3 linked regions of the Diceros bicornis minor genome follow. The protein of the gene in region 3 binds, or shares a complex with, the protein of the main gene of each other region. Links are inferred from orthologs where the notes say so. Each region holds a gene or a part of one and is shown on either strand. Other genes may lie near its edges.

The links. The genes of interacting proteins can lie anywhere in the genome.
Region 1: B9D2 (region 3) and TMEM107 share a complex: the UniProt entries of both Homo sapiens proteins name them as parts of the tectonic-like complex. The link is inferred for Diceros bicornis minor from reciprocal best matches to the Homo sapiens genes B9D2 and TMEM107.
Region 2: B9D2 (region 3) and TMEM67 share a complex: the UniProt entries of both Homo sapiens proteins name them as parts of the tectonic-like complex. The link is inferred for Diceros bicornis minor from reciprocal best matches to the Homo sapiens genes B9D2 and TMEM67.

What each region holds. Positions count from the first base shown.
Region 1 is NC_080757.1:10,232,812-10,239,651, reverse strand, and holds TMEM107 (transmembrane protein 107), read right to left. Parts: upstream 2,766-6,840; 5' UTR 2,596-2,765; coding exon 2,509-2,595; intron 2,333-2,508; coding exon 2,265-2,332; intron 2,163-2,264; coding exon 2,062-2,162; intron 1,317-2,061; coding exon 1,220-1,316; intron 993-1,219; coding exon 923-992; 3' UTR 525-922; downstream 1-524. UniProt on the Homo sapiens protein: Plays a role in cilia formation and embryonic patterning. Requires for normal Sonic hedgehog (Shh) signaling in the neural tube and acts in combination with GLI2 and GLI3 to pattern ventral and intermediate neuronal cell types.
Region 2 is NC_080760.1:13,098,357-13,105,422, reverse strand, and holds the start of TMEM67 (meckelin), read right to left. Parts: upstream 3,025-7,066; coding exon 2,799-3,024; intron 2,785-2,798; exon of another isoform or gene 2,686-2,784; intron 1,201-2,685; coding exon 1,112-1,200; intron 82-1,111; coding exon 1-81. UniProt on the Homo sapiens protein: Required for ciliary structure and function. Part of the tectonic-like complex which is required for tissue-specific ciliogenesis and may regulate ciliary membrane composition.
Region 3 is NC_080773.1:15,358,722-15,365,972, reverse strand, and holds the start of B9D2 (B9 domain-containing protein 2), read left to right. Parts: upstream 1-4,217; 5' UTR 4,218-4,355; exon of another isoform or gene 4,356-4,420; intron 4,421-4,838; 5' UTR 4,839-4,842; coding exon 4,843-4,930; intron 4,931-7,251. UniProt on the Homo sapiens protein: Component of the tectonic-like complex, a complex localized at the transition zone of primary cilia and acting as a barrier that prevents diffusion of transmembrane proteins between the cilia and plasma membranes.

The DNA.
Region 1 (6,840 bases), on a different chromosome or scaffold from region 3:
ACCCAAAACAGCAACGACAAAATTGACGAGTAACAAACAACATTGGAAAATAGTTGAGTCAAAGTAATCCATTACTGATAAAAGCTCAACACACATCTCATGTTTAAGCAAATCAAGTCTAACCATCAGTACAAAAATAAAACAAGGCGATCGTCAGGAAAAATCAGATAGGAGTAATCAGGGTGTTGCAAGTCCTGATCACGCAGAGACGCTAATCACGAATCATGCGCACTCCAATCATCATGTTCTAATCTGTCCCCCAAAAAGGGGGAACAGGTAAGGATTATCCTACCTGACGATAACCAACTTTCGCTAGGGCATTCCGTACTCAGGGAAAAAGATTCCGCTAACAACTACGGTGACTATATAATGCGTTAGCCTGAGCAACCTGTTTATTTAAGCTCCCCCACTTCTGTTGGAACATTTATTTGCAGATCTTTTAAAATAAATTTTTTTTCCATTTGGCTGCCAAAAGGGATAAATTAATTCCTCCCAGAATGCTCCATTCACTCACGAGCTTGGAGTCCTAGTCGTACGCGCCACTTATTTACATATCTCCGCCCACCCCCTTCGCCAGACAGCTACCGTAATAACCAAAATAAAAGCGATACCTATTATCTTACAGTCTCCAAAGCTGGAAAACAGCCTTCCGTTTCTCCAGTTGTTTGGCCATCCCGATTCTCCTTTGAAATTTTTATAAGTCTTGATCTTACTCTAAAATATATTTTATTACAAAGAGCTAAATTAAACTTTGATAAGCCTAGACGCGAGAGATAATTACCTTAACACTACTAACACTGACATCTTCCACCAAATGCAGTTTCAGTGGGAGCGCTGAAGCCTACGCCTGCCTTCTTCCAGGAACGGTGAGTGGTGCCTTGCTCCTCCAGCCTTCATCTCTACGTTCCCATCATGAAGGTGATCAGAAAGGTTTCTTTTTCAGCCCAAAGACGCTGACGAATAATGCCATTTCAGTGACAGCTGGGAGGGCGCTGCGAAAGGCAGGTGGTGGATTCAGGGCCCCTTCCAATAAAAATACCCAAATCCCCAAACCAGAGACCCCACTCCCAAAGCCTAGGTGGGGCGGGACTTGAAAAGACCACAGGATGTTGAGTGGATCTGGTATTTCACATATGGAGTAAAGCGCTGGTGGGGGAAACTTTCAGATTTAGAGTAAACCTTCCACCCCCCCATCTCCAAACATTGGACGCTACTGTACCTGCAGAAGACAAAAATGTACCAGTACGTGGTGCACTCCCAACGCTCGAATATGAAAAAGGATAGGGCCACAGACGCACTACAGTGAGCCCCCATGGCTTGAGAACGCACCAGAGTCAAGGAAAGCCTATGGATCGATAGATACTGATGGGCCAGAAAAGGCCAGTGGTGGGGCTGGCATCTGCACTCAGGTTCACCTCTTGCTTCCTCCTCACATTGCAAAGGTCAGAGCCGGTAGCCCTGCCTTCTGAGTTTTAGGACAGCCACGTGAGCAGAGGCCATAGGTGAGCCTGCACAGCTGAGACCCAGGCTACTCCCACCCCATATCTAAAGGCCAGGCTGGACCTTTCCGGTGAGGTAGGAGTAGGCTCCTCCTCTCCCCCAGGCCACACAGGAATGCTCACAGTGACTTGATACGCTCTGCTGGAACTACCCTCCAGCATCCGGGTCCTCCTGGTCCACAATTCAAGTGTCAAGAGCCTTCCCTGATCCATCTTTCTCACTTCCTCTGTTTCTTCTGAGTTCCCATAATGTTTTATATCTTTACACACTCCCACAGCACAGTGCTTATCGCACTGAATTACAGATGGCTGTGTCTGCCTCTTCCTCAAGGCAGAAAACTGTGTTTTACTCCCATTTTTGGATCTCCCGTGCCTGGTGCATAGCAGGGGCAAATGACTAAAGATTGTATTAAATACTCTCCATTGCCTAAAGAGATCTCTCAACTGGGGAGACTGTCCACTAGGGCAGACACTATTGTGCCAGAAAAGCCTAGTTATGTGGCTGAAGGTAGTTGTGATGGAAACGGACAGTGTGGGAAAGGTGCGCAGGCAGAAAGGATACAGATGAGGCTCTGGGTGCTGTTGAACATGGAAACTCCTGAGAAGAAGCCGGCCAGCTCCACTGCAAAGAGGCCCAGGGTGACAGAGAGCGCTGCCACCAGCCTGCAGAGAGGAAAGGGGTTGGTTCAGGCCTTCTGGACTTCTTCTAAGACCCCTCCACTCCCACCACTGCTTAATTCTGACCACCCCGCCCCAAGTGCTCACTGAATGTCCTGCTTCTCGTACTCCTCGGGAGTGAACGTGAGAGGCAGGCAGGCCTGGATGTTGCTGTCCTGGGGAGCAGGGCAGAGAGGAAGAGAAGTGAAAAAGGGGCGGGCTGCGGGGCAGGCCTGGGGGCAGCGAGGCACGGGAGGACCCGACCAGGTAAGGCCCTGGGAAAGAAGCGGGGTTGGGTTGGGACCACCCCGAGGCGGGAATGGGGGCGGGAGAGGGTGGCCGTGGGTCTTACCCGGGACCAGAATAAGGTGATGACGACCACCAGATGCGCCAGGAGCGTCAGGAACCGAGAGGGCACGAGCCCTGAGATCCGGCCCATGGCCCCCAGGGGCAGAGGCACCGTCTGGAGCAGAAGCCGAGGTCTCAAGGGGCTGGAAGTTTAGGGATGGCCACTCCTGAAGTCTCGCAGGCTAGCAGACAAAAACTCGACGTACGCCCCCTTCCCGCTCGCGCTGGCACCGCCCAGTTGCCTCGGCAACCACGTAAGCGGGCGCCGCGGCCGGATCTCTGAAAATCTCGCGAGAGCAGTAAATTCTCCAGCCGCCGTGGACCTCTTGGAGAGCGTAGGTTTGGGGTCCGCAGCGGGTGGTCCCTGCCGGGTGCCTACCGCGGGCCGGCTCCCATCGCGCAGCCGAGCCGTCTGCACGTGAGAGTGCGCGATGTGGCGCAGCCCCGCACCGCCGAACCTGCCCACGCAGGGCGAGCGAAAGGACACCCGCCCTGCCCTAGCCCACTACACCCCTTCCTCCCCGGATGCCCACGCCAGGAGCGGCCCGGCCGCAGACCCCCGCTACGTTGCCCAGGATGACCCTCCGCGGAAGAGTTGCTCACCAGAGACGATGTCACCGCCCCGCCGGGCTTAGGGCACCGCCATGCCCAAGGCATGGACACTCTCTCCTTTTCTCTCCTCCGCATCCCTTTAGCTTCCCACTGCCCTGGGCCAGAGGAGACGAAGGGAACTAAACGTGGAGAGATGGATGTCCCTAGATGGTCCAGCTATCACTTATTGTCACGCAGCCCCTTGTTCTCCGAGGACCCCGGACCTGAACCTTCCTTGATTCTGATTCCCCCCACCTGACTCCCCAGACAACTGACCTTTGGGCCTCAAAGGGGATCCCTGCAGAACGGAAAGTTCTCGGCCGCGTTTATCGCTCACAGTCACAGGAGTCGCGGGGACCCCCCGTCCACTTAGGAGAAGATCATCTTTCTCCCTACTCTCCATCTCAGTGCTTTTAGGACGGTCTAAAGTACAAGACCAAGGGGCATTTCTGATTTCTTGATTCATTCACTCATTCGTTCATTCATTCAACAGATATTTATTGACCAGCTGGTAAGTGCCAGGCACTGTGCTGGGCTCTTGTTCTTGACAGAAGTCTCTACCTTCGTGGGGTTTATATTCTAGTCAGGGAGATCGACAGCAAACATGCAAACAATACGTCTGCATGGTAATAGGTGCCATAAATAAAATTTTAAAAGGGAAACACTAGAATAATATGATCAAGAAAAAGCTGTTTGAAGTGGGTCATTTGCCCTAAAACTTTGTTTTAGGAAATTTGGTCAAAAGTGAGAGGAAATGCATTTCTCTCTTCCAGGCCCTCAGTGTAATAAATGGATTTCCTTTTTATAAACCAGTGGGTGAAAAAATTCAGAATTCAAAGAGATAGTCAAAAGATGTTTCCTCAAGGTCATGAAAGACAAAGACTGAAGAACTCTTCCAGATTAAGGGAGATTAAGATGTGACAAAGTTGACACGAGAAATTTAATGTGTGATCCTAGTGGATCTTGGATTAGGGAAAAAAAACTTTTACTTTAAAGAATATTAGTAGAACAATTGGCAAAATTTGAATAAGGTCTCTAGCTTAGATAATAGTATTTGTTATCAGTGTTAACTTCCTGATTTTTGATATTCTAATGCCTTTATGGATGAGAACGTCCTTGTTAGAAAATACACACTGAAGTGTTTTGGGGTAAAGGGGCATTATGTCTGCAATTTACTCTCAAATGGTTTAGAAAAAATATATGCGTCTGTAGAGATAGAGAGACAATGATAAAGCAAAGACAATGATGTGCCTTTTCAGTGAATGCACAGGGAAATTCTTTGTATTATTTTTGCTACTTTTCTAGAAATAAAATTATTTTAAAATAAAAAGTGTTAAATGATAAGCCTTTTAAAGTTTTCCTTCCAGGTCTTATACAATATTATCATTGAGACATTAAATTGCTGTATAAAAAGAAGGAATGATTTCTAGGATTGAGTGTCCCTAAATGTTGACCTCCTATATATTAACACTATGTAATAACATGTTCATATAAAACCGCCTCTTTAGAGGGCAGCACAGCTTTTTCCTCACAATGGAGACAATGTGATCACCAAAACTCATAAAATAAAAATTGCAATCATTTAGACTTCTCAGAGGAATTATTTTTATAAAGTGTGAGGTTCAGCAAAGTCTCTTTATTCTCCACTCAAAAAATATTTGATGATAATCAAATATTACCCACACTGGTTTCTCAGCTCTCAGCTGTGTAGGGGAGGTTCTCTCTTTAACTGGACTGTTTCAAAGTTCTGAAAATATTTTCAAACTTCCCCCATCTCAGGAGGGACGGGCAAACCCATCAAGTACGGTGGGCCCAACTGCTTCTCTCCCTTGAGGTGACCCTCGTCTTCATTAATGATGTGACAGTGATGACACTGAAATACAATGAGAGGTGGGCTTCCCGTGCTCTCCAACATGGAAATCACAGCGTAGCAAGCGTGGGGACATTCTTAGTACACAGAGAAGATGCAAGGACTGAAGGGCTCCTCATACTCTTCTTCTCTCTGCCTGTAACTTACATGCCTTTTCTCCTGAGAATGGAAAGCCCAGGTCTTCAGGGCCAAGCTCCCCCAGCGACAGTTTATCAAGTCTAACTGTTCACAGGTGAAGGAAGCACTGTCATAGAGTGCAAGTGAGGAAAGCCCGTGACCTTGCTTTTGCAAGACTTCCCAAGGTCCTTGGAACAAATAGAAGAGAAAGAGTCAGCCATGTGGAGATCTGGGGAAAGAGCATTCCAGGCAGAGAAACAGCAAGTGCAAAGGTCCTTACGTGAGGACAAGCCCAGTGTGTTTGTTGAAAGAACAGGAAGCTAGTGTGTCTGAAGTGTGGTAATGGAAGGGGAAGAAGAGATCGGGGTGAGGTGGGATGGGTAGGCAAGGGTCAGATCATGTTGGGCCTTGCAGCCATGGGCAGGGACATGGTCGGATTTGTATTCTAGAAGATGACTTTGGTTGCAACATGGAGAATAGATTTTAAGCAGAAGGCTAGTAAAGAAGCCATCGAGTTCTCCAGGAAGGACAGGATGAAATCAGGCCAGGATGGAATCAAGAAACAGGAGCAAAGTGGAAGGAATCAAGAGATAGTTAGAAATAGGTGAAGGCAGTATAAATTTATGTTTTTAAAAAAAAGAGATAGAAGATAAGAAGGTCTGGACATGGGGCTGTGGGTGGGCGAGAAAAAGAGAAGGGTCTAGGATAACTGTTAGATTTTGGGCTCCAGCAGCCGGAAGTTTGGGGCATTCTGCTTATAGTAGGCTTCCTGCCTAAGGGACCTACTAGATAGTAAGAACTGGGTAGTCACATTTCACATTGTGAGTTAATAAACAACAGGCATTTAGGTCTGTTCTGTCATTTTCTGTGACCTTGGTTCACCGCAGCCTGCTCTACAGAGACGTCTCACAAAAGTGAGTTTTGGAGCCACCCTGTGGCCATAGGAAGCACTGCCAGTGACCAGGTGTCCCCTAGCGGGCCACTTGCTTCAGGGCTGGAACCCACATGTCCTAACATTTGAACTGGTCATAAAACAACTTAGAAAAAAAAATGTTTATCATGGAAAAATTCAAACATGTAAAAATAAAGAAAATACTATAATGAACCCCTTTGAAGCCTACCATTCTCCTTCAACAATTACCAACACATGGCCAACCTTGTTTCAGCTATACTCCTTCCTCCTAGGCCCACCAGGTTATTTTGAAGCAAATCTCAGACATCACAAAATAGTTCAAATTGTCCAATCTCATACATATTATTTTTTCACTGTTTGTCCCTCCCCGTTCCTTGTTTTCTTGCAATTTATCTGTTGAAGACACTGGGATGTTTTGGGCTGTGTACTAGTTGTGTCGTTTAACATGTTCCCCTGCGACCAGTATTTCCTGTAAACTGGTTGTTAGACCTAGTGGTTGATCAGCCTCATGTTCAATTTTCTGATAAAAATACATCATGGTACTTCTCATTCCATCACATCAGGATGCACATAATGCCTGCTTGTCCCTATTTTTCCGTTGTTAAATCTGAGCAGCAGGTTCAGATGTAGTCAGACTGAGGCAACCATTATAAAGTTCGCCATCAGTTTTTCACCTCCTGGTTTATTGATCATCACCGCCTAGCTCCATTATTTCATGAAAGGTTGAGAACTGGGACGTCCTAATTCTATCATTCCTTCTGCATTTATCACCTGGGCACCTGAGGCCATGCCCTCATCAACTCGTTGTTTACCATGAGATACAGGTCACACAGGAAAGCCTGGAT
Region 2 (7,066 bases), on a different chromosome or scaffold from region 3:
GGTGGGACAGTGGCATTTGCCTTCTGTAGTTAAACCACTAGGGCAGGAAATGCAGTTCCAGCCATCTTGAGTAACACCTTTCTAAATTTAAAAAAAAAAAATTATTTTCTCCTTAACTGATTATATAAGTTCAAAAAGCCACAATAGTGTATAATTTGTAGTTAATATTCAAATAAATCATAAACATATGAGCCACATAAAAATTTCCTGGATAGCCAATTTGTACTTATATTTCCAAATGGAGCTATACATTATGACTATGTACTGACGACTATTAACTCTGGCCAATAATTCTTTCTTCTTCATGATTTTCAGTTCAAATGAGTCCTTACTTTCATAATTAATATTGTCATTGAGTTTTTCCATTTATAAAGATAAAACAACAAAATTCAACAAGATTTTATCAATAGATAGCCAATTAATAGGTTAGTCTTATTTGTTCTAAAATAATTATTCTAATTTTTAAAAATTCAAATACATTAGCTTTTAAAAATTGTTATGATTCAAAATGGGTGAATTTTATGGTATATAAATTATATGTAAATAAAGTTGTTAAAATTAAATTATGAGGATATTTCCTCCCATCCATTAATAGCTTGTATTAATAAAGGTTTTTGATAAAATATGACATCATTCAAAATGGGCTTATTATATTATATTGTTTAGGAAAAACCTGGGGAAAATACAGTAATTATAGTACAAACATGGATGTAACCAAAATTAACGGAGAACAATGGCAATAACAAAACAATGCCACAAATTATTTTAAATTTTGGTTGAAAAGACTGAATATGTTCATAATTAAATTCACTCATCTACTTTTCTTTATAACTGAGTTACTCTAAGAGGAAAAATAGACACAAATTTTCAAAGCTTTTTGGTTTTCTGGATTCCAGATTTTAAAAACCAAAGCAATACATTTCTGTTTTTTCTAAGTTTGCATAAAATTTCACTTATCTCCCAAAATCTATTCAAACAAAAACAAAGTCAGCTTAATAATTGTAAAGTTTGTGGGAAAATATTAGAGTACAGCATCTAGTCATAGTTTAAAAAATAAAGACATTTAATTTACTTTTTACAGTAAAATTATTTAAAAATAAATACTCCATACCATGTTTTCTGGGCACTTTTTACAAATAATATCAGGTCCTCCATTATTAGAGATCATCTGAAATCCTGGTAGACACACACATGAAGTTCCTAAAAAGAAAAGAGCCAACTTTGACCTTGGTAAATAAAAATAAAACTCCAAGATAGGGAAACTTGTAATAATTCTTAAGATCTTGAAAAGCAGCATAGTAGTTAAGAGCAAGACTCTGGAGCCAGTACTGCCTTGGTTCAAATGCAGAAACATACTCCTTGGGTTCTAATCTTGATTCTGCTACTTGGTTGCATAACCTTGAACAAGGTACTCAATTTCTCTGTGCCTGGGCTTCCACTTTGGCAAAATGAGGACAACAGTACCTACCTCACAGGGTTAGGATGAGTATTAGTTATGTATGCATATGTATTAGTGACATGTCAGTATGTAAAGGTCTTAGAATACATCTGGCACACAGTAGGCATTGTGCTTGCTACCATAATAACTAGACTATTAAATTACTGGATTAAACTAATAAACTATTGATTTATTGCTATGGGAAATTTTACCTTTCTATTTCACCCAATCATACACATATATTCAATGAATTCAAATTTACTTTGTCAGAACAAAACCGTATTAGGAAAGTTACCTTGATTAGAGTAAAAATCAGTTTTCCTCTGTTTGGACAGACAGTAAACATTATAAGATAATCACTATTCAACTTGCTGGGTAGGTAAGGACGGCATTTTCTAAGGAGGCATTAAGTGGAAACAGCACCCACAGGAATCTATGTAATAGAACGCACATGATATCTGGGTTCATAATGCTTTCTCATTCATATTTTCTCAGCTGCCGAGCCTGACCTGTCCTATACAATGAATTGCATGAGGATATATCACATTTGAAGATGGCAGAAAGTTAATACCACGGGTGACTAAATCAAGATTAAAAACATCTTAGACTTTAGAATACGGGAAAAGTCTTATTCTGAGCAGTGCAGGGAGGAGAACTAGGATCAAATGATGGACGTACCAAGAAAAAAAAATAAGCTTAATCTAAAGAGACTTTAAGAGCAATTAGAAATATTCAACAATAAAAGGGATAAGTCCTAAGGAAATCTATAATGTTAAGGACACACTATAGAGTGGAAATACAAAGTTGGAGACTGAGAGCAGAGAGACACTTCCAGAGTCCCCCAGTCCTAATTTAGGCGACACAGAAGACATTACAACATCATCTGGGCTTCAATTTCCTAATCTGTAAAATGAGATGACTGGACCTGATCATGGTTAAGGTCTCTTCCAGCTCTCAGTTCCTGGGATTTGAAAAGCAAGATGACGGGCTATTCAAGTTCACACGCGCTAATTTGCATTCCCTTCCCAACCTGTCCTGTCTCCCGCTCCTCTGCACCTCAGGTTACTCCTCCATTTCTTTTCTACCTTCGGGGGGCAGCTTTCCAGGTGCCTCTCTAAAGACCCCTCGGACGAGGAATGGGGGACTGGCGACGGCTCACAGGGTTGCGGGCTCGGGATTCCCCAACCTCATCACCGTGCAAGCTGCAATCCTCAAAGGGAACCCTTCTCTCAGGCGCCGGCGGTTACCTTTCCTGAAACATTCTTCCCGCAGATGAAACGGTGTTCCAGCGACGCCGGGGTCTGGGAGCAGCGCCAGGGCGGCAATGTTACTTTCCAGAGCCCACCCCAAACCGTCTCACCTCGGGAGTCCTGCCTCTGGTTGGCTCCACACGAGACACAGGAGAGCGCGGAGATATCGAAGTACTGGTTGTGGCCGCACGTCTCCGGCTGCCGGAAAGGTAAGGAGAAGGTCTGGGCCTGTGAGAGGCGAGGGAGGACCAACACGAGGAGCGCAGTCACAGCCGCGGGGGAAGAGGTGGACCAAGCCTCCATGGTCGCCGCGGTCCCACCGCCGCCCGTCACCATGGTGCAGACGCCGGCGGCGATCAGCCCCATCAGCCCCTGCGGCGAGTCCGCGGAGCCGATTGGACAACTCCCGGCCTGGGGTTCCGGAAGTATCTGCCTGCACTGCCTGGTTGCTAGGTTACCAAAGCCCGGAAGCTGCCTAGTCCGAGAAAGGATGGGTTGGAGGAAAGCTAACCCTGGATCCTGCAGGCGCGACCGGCTGTTTCAAAAGGTTGTTTCAAACTCTGGGACGCGACCCATTAGCGGGACGTGAAATCAATTTAGGAGGTCAAGAAATAGGATACCACAGCAAAGAAAATATCTGATTGTACCACAAAATTAAGAGTATTGTTTCATTAAACCGTTGAATGATGTTTACCTCAGAATTTATCCAGACTGGGTCGTGGTGAAGGAGACATTCCATCAATGTATTTGTCAAAATACATTTGTCAGGGGCCGCCCCGTAGCGCAAGAGGTTAAGTGCGCGCGCTCCGCTGCAACCCGGTTCCGATCCCTGAGTGTGCACGACACACCGCTTGTCAGGCCATGCTGTAGCGGCGTCCCATATAAAGTGGAGGAAGATGGGCACGGATGTTAGCCCAGGGCCAGTCTTCCTCAGCAAAAAGAGGAGGATTGGCAGATGTTAGCTCAGGGCTGATCTTCCTCACAAAAAACAAAACAAACAAAAAATACATTTGTCAAAAATGTGGGGAAAACACCTATTTGAAATATGCAATGCTGGAAGATTGGCTCAAGCACTAAAAAAAAGATCTTCCTGCCAGACCTTTCTTTGTGTTTCTACTTTCCTTGTTTTGAGGACAGGAAATAATGTATATAAAATGAAATAATCTTTACCCTACTTGTTAATAAAGAAGGAACCTAATTTTTTAAATCAAATTTACACATACATGAATTTTGTCTTTCAAAGTAGGCACCCTTGGAGGCTGTTAGCCCCAAAACATTTTAGAATTACCTTCAGAGCCAGTTTATAGATCATAAAAGAAAAAATATATATATATTTTTTTTTTTGTGAGGAAGATGGGCCCCTGAGCTAACATCTGCCAATCCTCCTCTTTTTTTTGCTGAGGAAAACTGGCCCTGGCCTAACATCCATGCCCATCTTCCTCCACTTTATATCGGACGCCGCCACAGCATGGCCTGACAGCAGTGCCTCGTTGCGGGCCTGGGATCCAAACTGGCGAACCCCGGGCCACCGCAGCCGAGTGTGCGCACTTAACCGCTTGCGCCACCAGGCCGGCCCAGAAAAAAATATTTCTTAATATTTAAATCTCACTTCTGTTTTTGTTGTATTTTGTTTGTTTGATTGTTGTTATTTTGTCCTCCTCTCCCCTTCCCAATAAAATCAGCCGGCATAATTTTAAGCCACTTTATTCATCAGTAGTAGCTTGAAATGACTTTTGGCTTTCTCAAAAAAACAAATTTTGGGGCTGGCCTGGTGGCACAAGCAGTTAAGTGCACGTGCTCCGCTGCGGGGGCCCGGGGTTCGCTGGTTCGGATCCCGGGCACGCACTGACGCACCACTTGCCAAGCCATGCTGTGGTGGCATCCCATGTAAAGTAGAGGAAGATGAGCATGGATGTCAGCCCAGGACCAGGCTTCCTCAGCAAAACAAAAGAGGAGGATTGGCAGATGTTAGCTCAGGGCTGATCTTCCTCACCAAAAAAAAAAAAAAAAAAACTGTAAAATAAATTTCCATTAAAAAAACAAATTTTGTAATAAAAATGATAATTTGTCACTATTAAGGAAAATACACACACACACACATAATATTCTCAATGCATGTGGAAAACACATTTAAGGAAGTTACATAACTTTAACCATTAGCTACCATTAGGCCTAGAGTTCCTCATGTGTCCTTCCCCAAAAAAACCAGCATTCACTTAGTCACTAATATCTATGACACAGGAGGTGTATGTTCTGCAAACTCTTCCTTAAAGAGGACTTCTAAAAAATGTTTTTGAGTAATTACCGTGTTGTTGGAGTGACTAATTTGAAGTGGAAACCACTTACCTGAAAACAATTTTGAAAAAACACGTGACTATACAAATGTTAATGGGGACTCAGAAACGGTGTGGTCAGAATAGTTGAGATTAATCTGCAAAAGCTTCCTACAGGCAAATTTTAACTTTAGTCTTCCTTAATGAAGTGCATACTGTTATATGCTCAGTGGAAGGGATTAGGGCAATAATATTTACTCATTGCCTACTATATAATTAAAGCAATAAAAGAGCTCCCATTCATGATGGTCTTCTTTGTGTCCCCCACTAAGCACTGTGCTAGGCACTTAACAGCATTAACCTTAACTCTTCATAATAACCCTTTGAGGGAATACTATCCATTTTTTTGTATCCTTTTACTAAAAAAGAAACTGAGGATCAAAAATGGTACATTTTAGGAAGTGGTGAAACTAGAATCTATCTCCACCTGGCCAACTCCATAACCTGTTATCGTTTCAATCTATTAAGTGGCTTCTTTGTGGAATAGATAGAGAAAAATTTTGGTATATTCTACATGTAGGACAAACCTACTGTCTTTAGTTAACAAGATGATATTGACATAATATACCACAGACAGCTGAATGATGGTTATCTGAGACCTTTGAGTGCTGCATCTAACAAAACTGCCTCAAAGAGCTAAATAGAGATTATTTGTAGCAGAAAGATTAAAATAGACACAGTTAAATTTGAGATAACTGTAGATACTATAGGTTTGTCTGTGTAAATTGCCTACAAGGATAGGAGAAAGAATGTTAGCTAAAGCTGTTAAGCATCAATTGGGACTGTATCATTAGGGATATTTTTGCTACAAGTAATAGAAGATCAGGTAGTTTAACCCAGTTCACAATGGCTTAAACAAAAATAAATATGAGAAGTCTGGAGGTAAGTGGCTGCTGGTGTTCGTTCAATGATGTCAGATAGTCATCTCTGCAGTTCTCTTGGCTTTTCCCTCTTAGTTGCAATATGAATGCCTTACACCAGATATCAAAATTCGGATTTAAGATGAGAAGAAGGAAAAGAGCTGAACTAGAGATGTTGCCTCTGTCTCTTTAATCAGGAAAGCAAATGTTGTCTCTATGCCATGTGTTGTGCTAAACTTCCTCCATGCATCATTTCAGTCTTTTTAACAACCCTATGAATAGGCAGTACGGTTATACCCATTTATCAGGCTTAAAGACATGCCCAGAGTCATCCAGCTGAAATGTGCAAGAGTTATACATAGAAGCGGATGTGACTAGGAGAACATGGTTTAATGTCAGCTTAGGAAGAAGGGTACCAAAAAAGGTGAGAAAGTGGGTTCAAAGAGGATATCAAACGCTTATTGAACACCTAGAATGAGATAGGTACTGTACCATGCCTTACCTACATTATCAAAATTAATCCACTCAACAACCTTATGAAACCTATAGTGTTGTTACCATCTTTTTATAGGTGATTGAATGGAAGCACGTAGAGATTTTTTAAAACCTGCGTCAAAGCACAGCTTGTAATTTACAGACACAAACTTTGAATCATGGTATTTTAACTCTTGGGGCTGCTTAACCACATGCCCCCTAACAGTACAAATGCTGCAAAAAAGTCAAGGAGGCTGAGGATGGAGAAAAAGTGTTTGGATTTGGCAACTAGGTGATCATTAGTTACCTTTTAGAGTGCAGTTTCATTACAGTGGTAGGAGTGGAAGCAAGCCATAGAGCAGTAGTGAGAAAGAACAAGCCCCAGATAGAGGCTACTCTGAGGAACTTGGCATTGAAAGGAAGGCAAAAGAAGGGACTGAGCTAAAAGAATTTTAATTTTTTTTTTTTTTTTTTTTTTTTAGGATAAGGAGAATATAAGTGGAAAGGAAAGGAGTAGTAGAAGAGAGATTCAAAATAAAGAGAGGAATAATTGACTCTCTCTTGAGCTCCTAGGAAGGGGTCAAGGACTAGGATGTAAGAGTGGGAGAAGGACCATCTCAGGGGAGGAGAGTCATTCTTTCACAGATTGGAAGAAAACAGGAAGATGAGTGAATCCATAAAGAAATCCTGGGCTGGGGAGCAAAGAAATAG
Region 3 (7,251 bases):
AGTTCCTCAAAAAATTAAAAATAGAATTGCCACGTGATCCAGCAATTCCACTTCTGGGTGTATACCCCAAAGAACTGACAGCAGGGTCTTCAAGAGATATGTGTACACCCACGTTCACAGCAGCACTATTCACAACAGCCAAAAGGTGGAAGCAACCCAAGTGTCCATCAACAGGTGAATGGATTAAAAAAACAGGGTGTATATATACAGTGGAATATTATTCAGCTTTACAAAGCAAGGGAATTCTGACATGTGGTACAACATGGATGATCCTTGAGGACATTATGCTCAATGAAATAAGCCAGTCATAAAAGGACAAATATTGAACGATTCTACTTATATGAGTTACCTAGAGTAGTCAAATTCATAGAGACAGAAAGTAGAAGGGTGGTTACCAGGGACGGAAGGGAGGGGGGAATGGGGAGTTTTTGTTTAATGGTTACAGAGTTTCAGTTTTGCAAGATGAAAAGAGTTCTAGAGATTGGTTGCACAATTATGCGAATGTACTTAATGCCACTGAGCTGTACAATTAAAAATGGCTAAGATGGTAAATTTTATGTGTATTTTACCACATTTTTTTCTTTTCGGTGAGGGAGATTGGCCATGAGCTAACATCTGTGCTCATCTTCCTCTATTTTGTACATGGGACGGCGCCACAGCATGGCTTGATATGCAGTGCCTAGGTCCACACTGGGGATCTGAACCTGCGAACCCTGGGCTGCTGAAGCAGAGTGCATGAACTTAACCACTGTGCCACTGGGCCAGCTCCAACCACATTTTTGAAAAATTTAAAAATAAAAAGTAAAAAGTAAATAAATAAGTATTCAGTGTGATTCTTGTAAAAAAAAGAATATGTGGGGGCTGGCCTGCTGGCATAGTGGTTAAGTTCATGCACTCTGCTCTGGCGGCCTAGAGTTCAGGGGTTCAGATCCTGGGTGTGGATCTACACACTGCTCATCAAGCCATGTACAAAGTAGAGGAAGACTGGCACAGATGTTAGCTCAGGGACAATCTTCCTCACCAAAAATAGTAATAATAATAATAATATGTAAAATATGCCATTTCACTAATAACAACAACAGTAAAAGCCATCAATAATAGCAAATATTTATGGTGCTTCCTATGTGCCAGGCACTGTCCTAAATTCATTACATACTCGTATTAGCTATCTTTTGCTGCGTAACAAATTATCCCCCAAAACTTAGTGGCTTAAAACAACAAACGTATATCATCTGACATGGTTTCTGTCAGTCAGGAATCTGGCAACAGCTTAGCTGGGTGGTTCTGGCTCCGGACATCTCACGAAGTTACAGTCAGCATGTTGGCCATAGCTATATATAGTCATCTGAAGACTTGACTGGGGTTAGAAGATCTGCTTCCAAGATAGGTCACTCACATGGTGCTGGTTGCTGGCAGGAGGCCTCAGTTCTTCCCCATTTGGGTCTCTCAAGTGCCTGCTTCACCGCCATTGATACCGTCTCAACACAAGATTGACATAAGGGAAGCCACATTGTAGAAAAGAAACCATACTGTAATTCTCAATGACCTCTGACTCACTGACCCAACTGGATATGCACCCTTCAGGCGATGTACATGCTCTGTAGATTTTATGGCCCCTGCTTGAGTATGTACCTGTCAGCTGTGATAAGTAATGTGATGACCCCCTGGGCAGAGAGTCTATGCTGATAGCCATCATCAATGACAATGGAAAGATCTGGTGTGGCAACTCCCAGTCTAACACCAGAGGGCTAACATTCCTAACCCCCTCCTGCATAACCCACTGGCCTACAGAACTGCCTCAAGATGCTGTGCTCCCCTTAAGATGGTTCTTTAGGACGCTAGTCCCCCATCTTCCAATTTGCTAGCTTATTGCTTAATAAATGCCCTTTCTCTGCCACCATCTTGCCTCTTGACAATTGGCTTTTGTCTTGTGGCAAGCAGATCATGCCCTTTGCGCAGTAACATCATCACAACATGGTGGTGGACCTCCCTCAGTGATGTGATCCAAGAAAAAGAGGAAGGAGGAAGCCTCAATGCCTTTTGTGGCCCAGTCTCAGAAGTTACCCAGCAGGGCCGGCGCTGTGGCATAGCGGTTAAGTGTGCGCACTCTGCTGCTGGTGGCCCAGGTTCAGATCCCGGATGCGCACCCATGTACCACTTGTCAGGCCATGCTGTGGCAGCATCCCATATAAAGTGGAGGAAGATGGGCACGGATGTTAGCTCAGGGCCAGTCTTCCTCAGCCAAAAAAAAAAAAAAAAAAACGAGGAGGATTGGCATGGATGTTAGCTCACGGCTGATCTTGCTCACAAAAAACAAAAAAAGGCACCCAGCAACACTTTTGTCACACTCTATTTGTTACAAGCAAGTTACTAAGTGCAGCCCATACTGGATGGTAGAGGAATTAGTCTCCACCTATTGAAAGAAGGGGTGTCAAAGAAGCTGTGGACATTATTTCAAAACAGCTTCATCCATTAGCTCATCAAATCCTGACAACAGTCCAACAAGGTGGGTCCTATCATTCAACCTCACATTACAGATGAGGAAACTGAGGCACAAAGAGGCTAAAGGTCACATAGAAGGGGCCGAGCCGAGACTTAAATCCAGGCAATTGACTTGGGAACCATTTTCTTTTTTTGTGTGTGAGGAAGATTGGCCCTGAGCTAACATCTGCCAATCCTCCTCTTTTTGCTGAGGAAGAATGGCCCTGGGCTAACATCTGTGACCATCTTCCTCCACTTTATGTGGGATGCCGCCACAGCGTGGCCTGACAAGCGGTGCGTCAGTGCCAGGATCCCAACCCCAGGCCGCTGCAGCGGAGTGCGTGCACTTAACCGCTACGCCACAGGGCCAGCCCCTGGGAACCTTTTTCTTAATCACTAATATCACCCAGTGGGGAAGAAACCAATTGAAGAAAAAATATTTAAGAAGGAGCATTGACAGGCCTTGATGACTTGTCGCATGTGGGAAGTGATGGAGTCTAGGAGGACACCCAGGCACAACTTCCATATTCCTTTGACACTGGGAGACGTGTATCCAAGAGAGGCAGGATAGCAGAAAGGTTGAGAACACAAGGTTTAAAGCAAGGTTTAAAGAGTCAGACAGAACTGTGATCGATTTGGCTAAGACAAAAGATTTTGCCTCAATTTCTTCATCTTAAATAAAGCCAATAATGTTACCTACCCTGCAAGGATTAAAGGAGACCATGCATGCAAAACGATCAGTTTACAGGGGCTGTCGCAGAGAAAGCACTCAATAAATGGTAGCTTTCAAATATATCTATTAGTGAAATATTATCCTATTAAATTATTTATATAAATATTATACTATTGAAATGTTGCCCCCTCCCTATAACTTTGAGCTGGTGACTCGAACTTTTGTGGTCCCGTTTTGCTAAAAAGTAGGAGAAAAAGTTCCCTTTGGACTCCTGGTCTGGGCTGGAGGAGTAACTAAGGGTCAACTGCACTTAGGGGGCGGGAAAGGCCCTGCTCAGGAAATCAGAACGTATCAGGGCCGCTGACAGTCTCCTTGCGCCCATTACATGGATGAGATAATGGAGACACAAAGGCGTGCAAGGCCACAAGATAAGACACTGGCAGAGTCTAGTCTTCAAGAACCGGATTTTCTGCAGAAAAAGGGGCCGCAGTTCCTCATTTCTCATACCCCTGCCCCCACACCCGCCTCCTTGCTCAGAGCCAGCAGTAACTGAACTGGGCAGTATTTCTGAGAAGGAAGTTGGATTTATCAGTCCTTGAGGAGCCTGGGGGAACTCTAAAAAAGGAAGGAAACCCCCCTCCCCAACTTCTCGAGTCTCTCTGAAAGAGGAAGGATCTTTTTTCCAGTTATGAGGCAGGGGGATGCACACAATGACCTGAGAAAGAGTCCCTCTTGTTCCTGGCTCAAGTCTCTGATTTGTGGTCCGGTTGGGAGAGAGTTTAGGGGAGCATAGGGCATCGACGTCTTCGCTTATTTTGTAAAGAGGGTTACTGGAAGAAACAGTTGGCGCTCAAACTTCCTCAGCCACACTCAAGATGGCAGCTGCCCGGCCACGCCCCAAAAGGCGGAACCGTGGGTCGTGGCTGGAGAGACACTTTTCCCAAAATGGAGACAGCGGGGGAGAGAAAACGTCCATCATAGCTTAGCCCCACCCTCGAGGACGGCTAGGGCCAATTAGCGACGCGCAGGGCGGGTGCAAGGCCAGGGGAAGAGGCTGCTGTTGCCCCAGCAACAAGCAGGGAGCCCGGAGGCGGGCGCGGCTCGGAGGGATCTCACTGCTTCAGATCTCTCACTGCTGGGAAAGTCCTGGGAGAGGGGCGAACCAGGCCTGGGAATTCAGCGCCCGCGGAGAGAGGGACAGGTCAGGCCCATGAACTCCAAGCCCCACTGCCGCTTTCGCCCCTCCTAACCGTTAAGCGCTCTGAGGTAGGAATAACGCATGCGCGGGCTTAGAGGCGGGGCTAAGGCGGCCATGCACTTAAGACGCATGCGCCTCATGGAGCTTGGGCGATCTGACGCGAGGGGGCGGGGCTTCTGTGCTTGTGGGCGGAGCCGTAGGCCCCTGGGGCGGGGCTTTCCGTCGTAATGAGCAAGAGGAAAAGGTTATTTTAAGGCAGGCAAAGTTAGACGCCAGCTTCTCAGCCCAGCTCCCCATATTTATCCGGGGCTCTCCTAGCGAGGCAGTTAGGATCATGGTTAAGACTGCTGCCTCAGTGGTTTGACGAAACTAGCTTGGAATCCTAGTACAGCCCCTTACTCCGTGGGGCTCAGTTTTCCCATCTGTCAGGTGGACATAATAATACCCGTATCTCAGAGGGCTGTGATTATATCTTTCCCCTCTCAGGGCCATGGCTGAGGTGCACGTGATCGGGCAGATCTTGGGTGCCACAGGTTTCTCGGAAAGTAGCCTCTTCTGCAAGTGGGGCGTCCACACAGGTATTCCGGGCCTGGTTCATTTCCCCACCAAGAGCCCCCTAGCCTAGATGCTCCACCCTCCTTCCTTGATGCCCTGACCATTCCCTGCTCTGCATCTTCCATTGGCTCTCAGGACTCCTAGCCTGACCACACTGTCCACGTGATTCTCAGGCTCCCTTCTTATTCCTTCCTATCCCATCTCTGGGGGCTCTGACTCCCACTCTCTGAACACACAGCCCCTAAAGATGGGGACTACAGGCTAGACCCCCCCACACACACACTTCCAATGCTCAAAACAGTAGACAGCCCTAACCCCACTGTTTGGACTTTGCTCCCTGTCTTAGGGGTGCCTTGGGTCCCTCTGGCATCTTAATTCTTTGCTTAACAGCCTCTACTTTATTGAGTTCTTACTGTAAAATGGAAGTTTTCATCCCAGATTTACACAGGAGAGGCCACCCTCCTGTATTCATAATTCTCTGTGGGAATGTAGGAACCCCATTCTGGCTGTCATACAAGTCCATCCACACAGCCCCTGGAGGGACCTCAGAGGCTCCAATTTTCATGCCTCCCCATCAAAGGCAGTATAGCATGGTGGTGCAGCATAATGGTTAGGGCCATAGGCTGCCAGATCTGGGCTCAAATACGAACCTATTCATTGGGGGACTTTGGACTTGACTGCCCTGAGCCTTCCCTTCCTTGTCTGATAATGAAGCTAACAGCAGCTAAGAGGCAGCAGAGTGTTGAGGTTAAGAGCACAGACTGCCTGGGTTCAAAACCAGCTGTGGCTTATTAATTATGTGACCTTGGGCATTGTCTTTGCCTCAATTTCCCTGTCTGTACTATAGGAATAATCACAATACTTACCTCATGGGGTTGTTGTGAGGACTAAGTGGACATCACCAGCACTTAGAAGAGGGCCTGGCTTAGTAAGTGCTCAGTGAGTGTCTGGCTCCTGTAACAATTGGGTGGGACTTATTTTTAAAGCCCAGGTATGCTGCTTGGCACAGGAACATGCCCGTGCTACGAGTGTGGCTATTGCCATTATCATGTCTTCAGGCCCCGGGTCCTTGGTGATTTCACTGGTGGGTAGGGTGCTGGTTGAGATTGCCTGGGAATTTGGGGTCCTCCAGCTGAGCCCAGTCAGACTTGGGTTCCAGTCCAGCTGTCCCGTCTTGGAGCCCCCGTTTCCTCTTCTGTAAAGTGGGAACGTTTGTCCTTCATAGGGATGTTGGGAAGTCTCGCATGTGAAGAACTAGACTCAGGGCCTGGCACTTTCCTTGCATGGCCCAGAAGGGAGCAGTAACTAACGTGATTTTTATTATTTCAGGGGGCTCTTGCGAGGTAGTTAATCTAGCAGAGAGCTCAGGGGCAGTCGGATAAAGGGATTGAACTCTGCAGTCAGACAGAGCTCAGTTTGAATCCAGCTCCACTGTGGGACCTAGGTGTGTGGTCCTGCTGTATCCCCAACGTGGAGAACAGTGCTTGGCACACAGTAGGTGTTCAATGAATGTTCATGGAATGAATGGCCAAGTGACTTTCCTTCTTAGAGTCGGTTTCTTTACCTGTAAAATGAGGATTGGATTAGCACCTGCCTCCTAGGATCACTTATTTGTCCAACAAACATTTGTTGAGCACCTTCTGTATACCAAGATCTGGGTTGGAGGTCCAGGGGATCCTAGCAGTGTACAAGATCCCTGCTGTCCTGGGGCTCACAGTAGGGGAGACAGAAAATAAATCAGCAGATAAAGAAACGGGCACAGTGATGACAGATCGTGGTAAGCACTAGGAAGAAATGGGAAGAGATGATGTGATGGAGACTAGTTTGGGGAAAGGGGGGTGAGGGAGAACCCCTCTGCGAAAGCAGCACTTGAGCTGGTTCCTGAAGGATGAAAAAAAAAGCCAGGCATGGGGACATCCAGGAGCAGAGCTTTCTTGGCAGAGGGAACAGCCAGTGCAAAGGCCCGAGGACAGGAACAAAAATAGGACCAGTGAGGCCCAAGGGTGGTGAGGGCTGGGGAGAGTGATGGGAGCTGAGTTGAGGAAGGGGGCACAGGCCAGGCTACACAGGCCTTGTGGGCTGTGGAGGAGAGTGGGTAAACTGGGGGCCAGGGTGGGGATTAAGAGTCCCAGAGGGCAGATTAAATGAATTCATTCCTAAAGCGCTTAGCACAGCGTCTGGCATTGAGTAAGCACCCAGCGCATTTTTGCTATTATTATCAGCCTCAGTGGGATCGCTGTTATCATGCACCTTTCTCCATGTGCCTGGGGAGAGCACCCTTAGCCCAGTCTTAGTCCTTGCACCAGGTGGGGTGAGAACAGTAATAAGATGATATCCAACACTT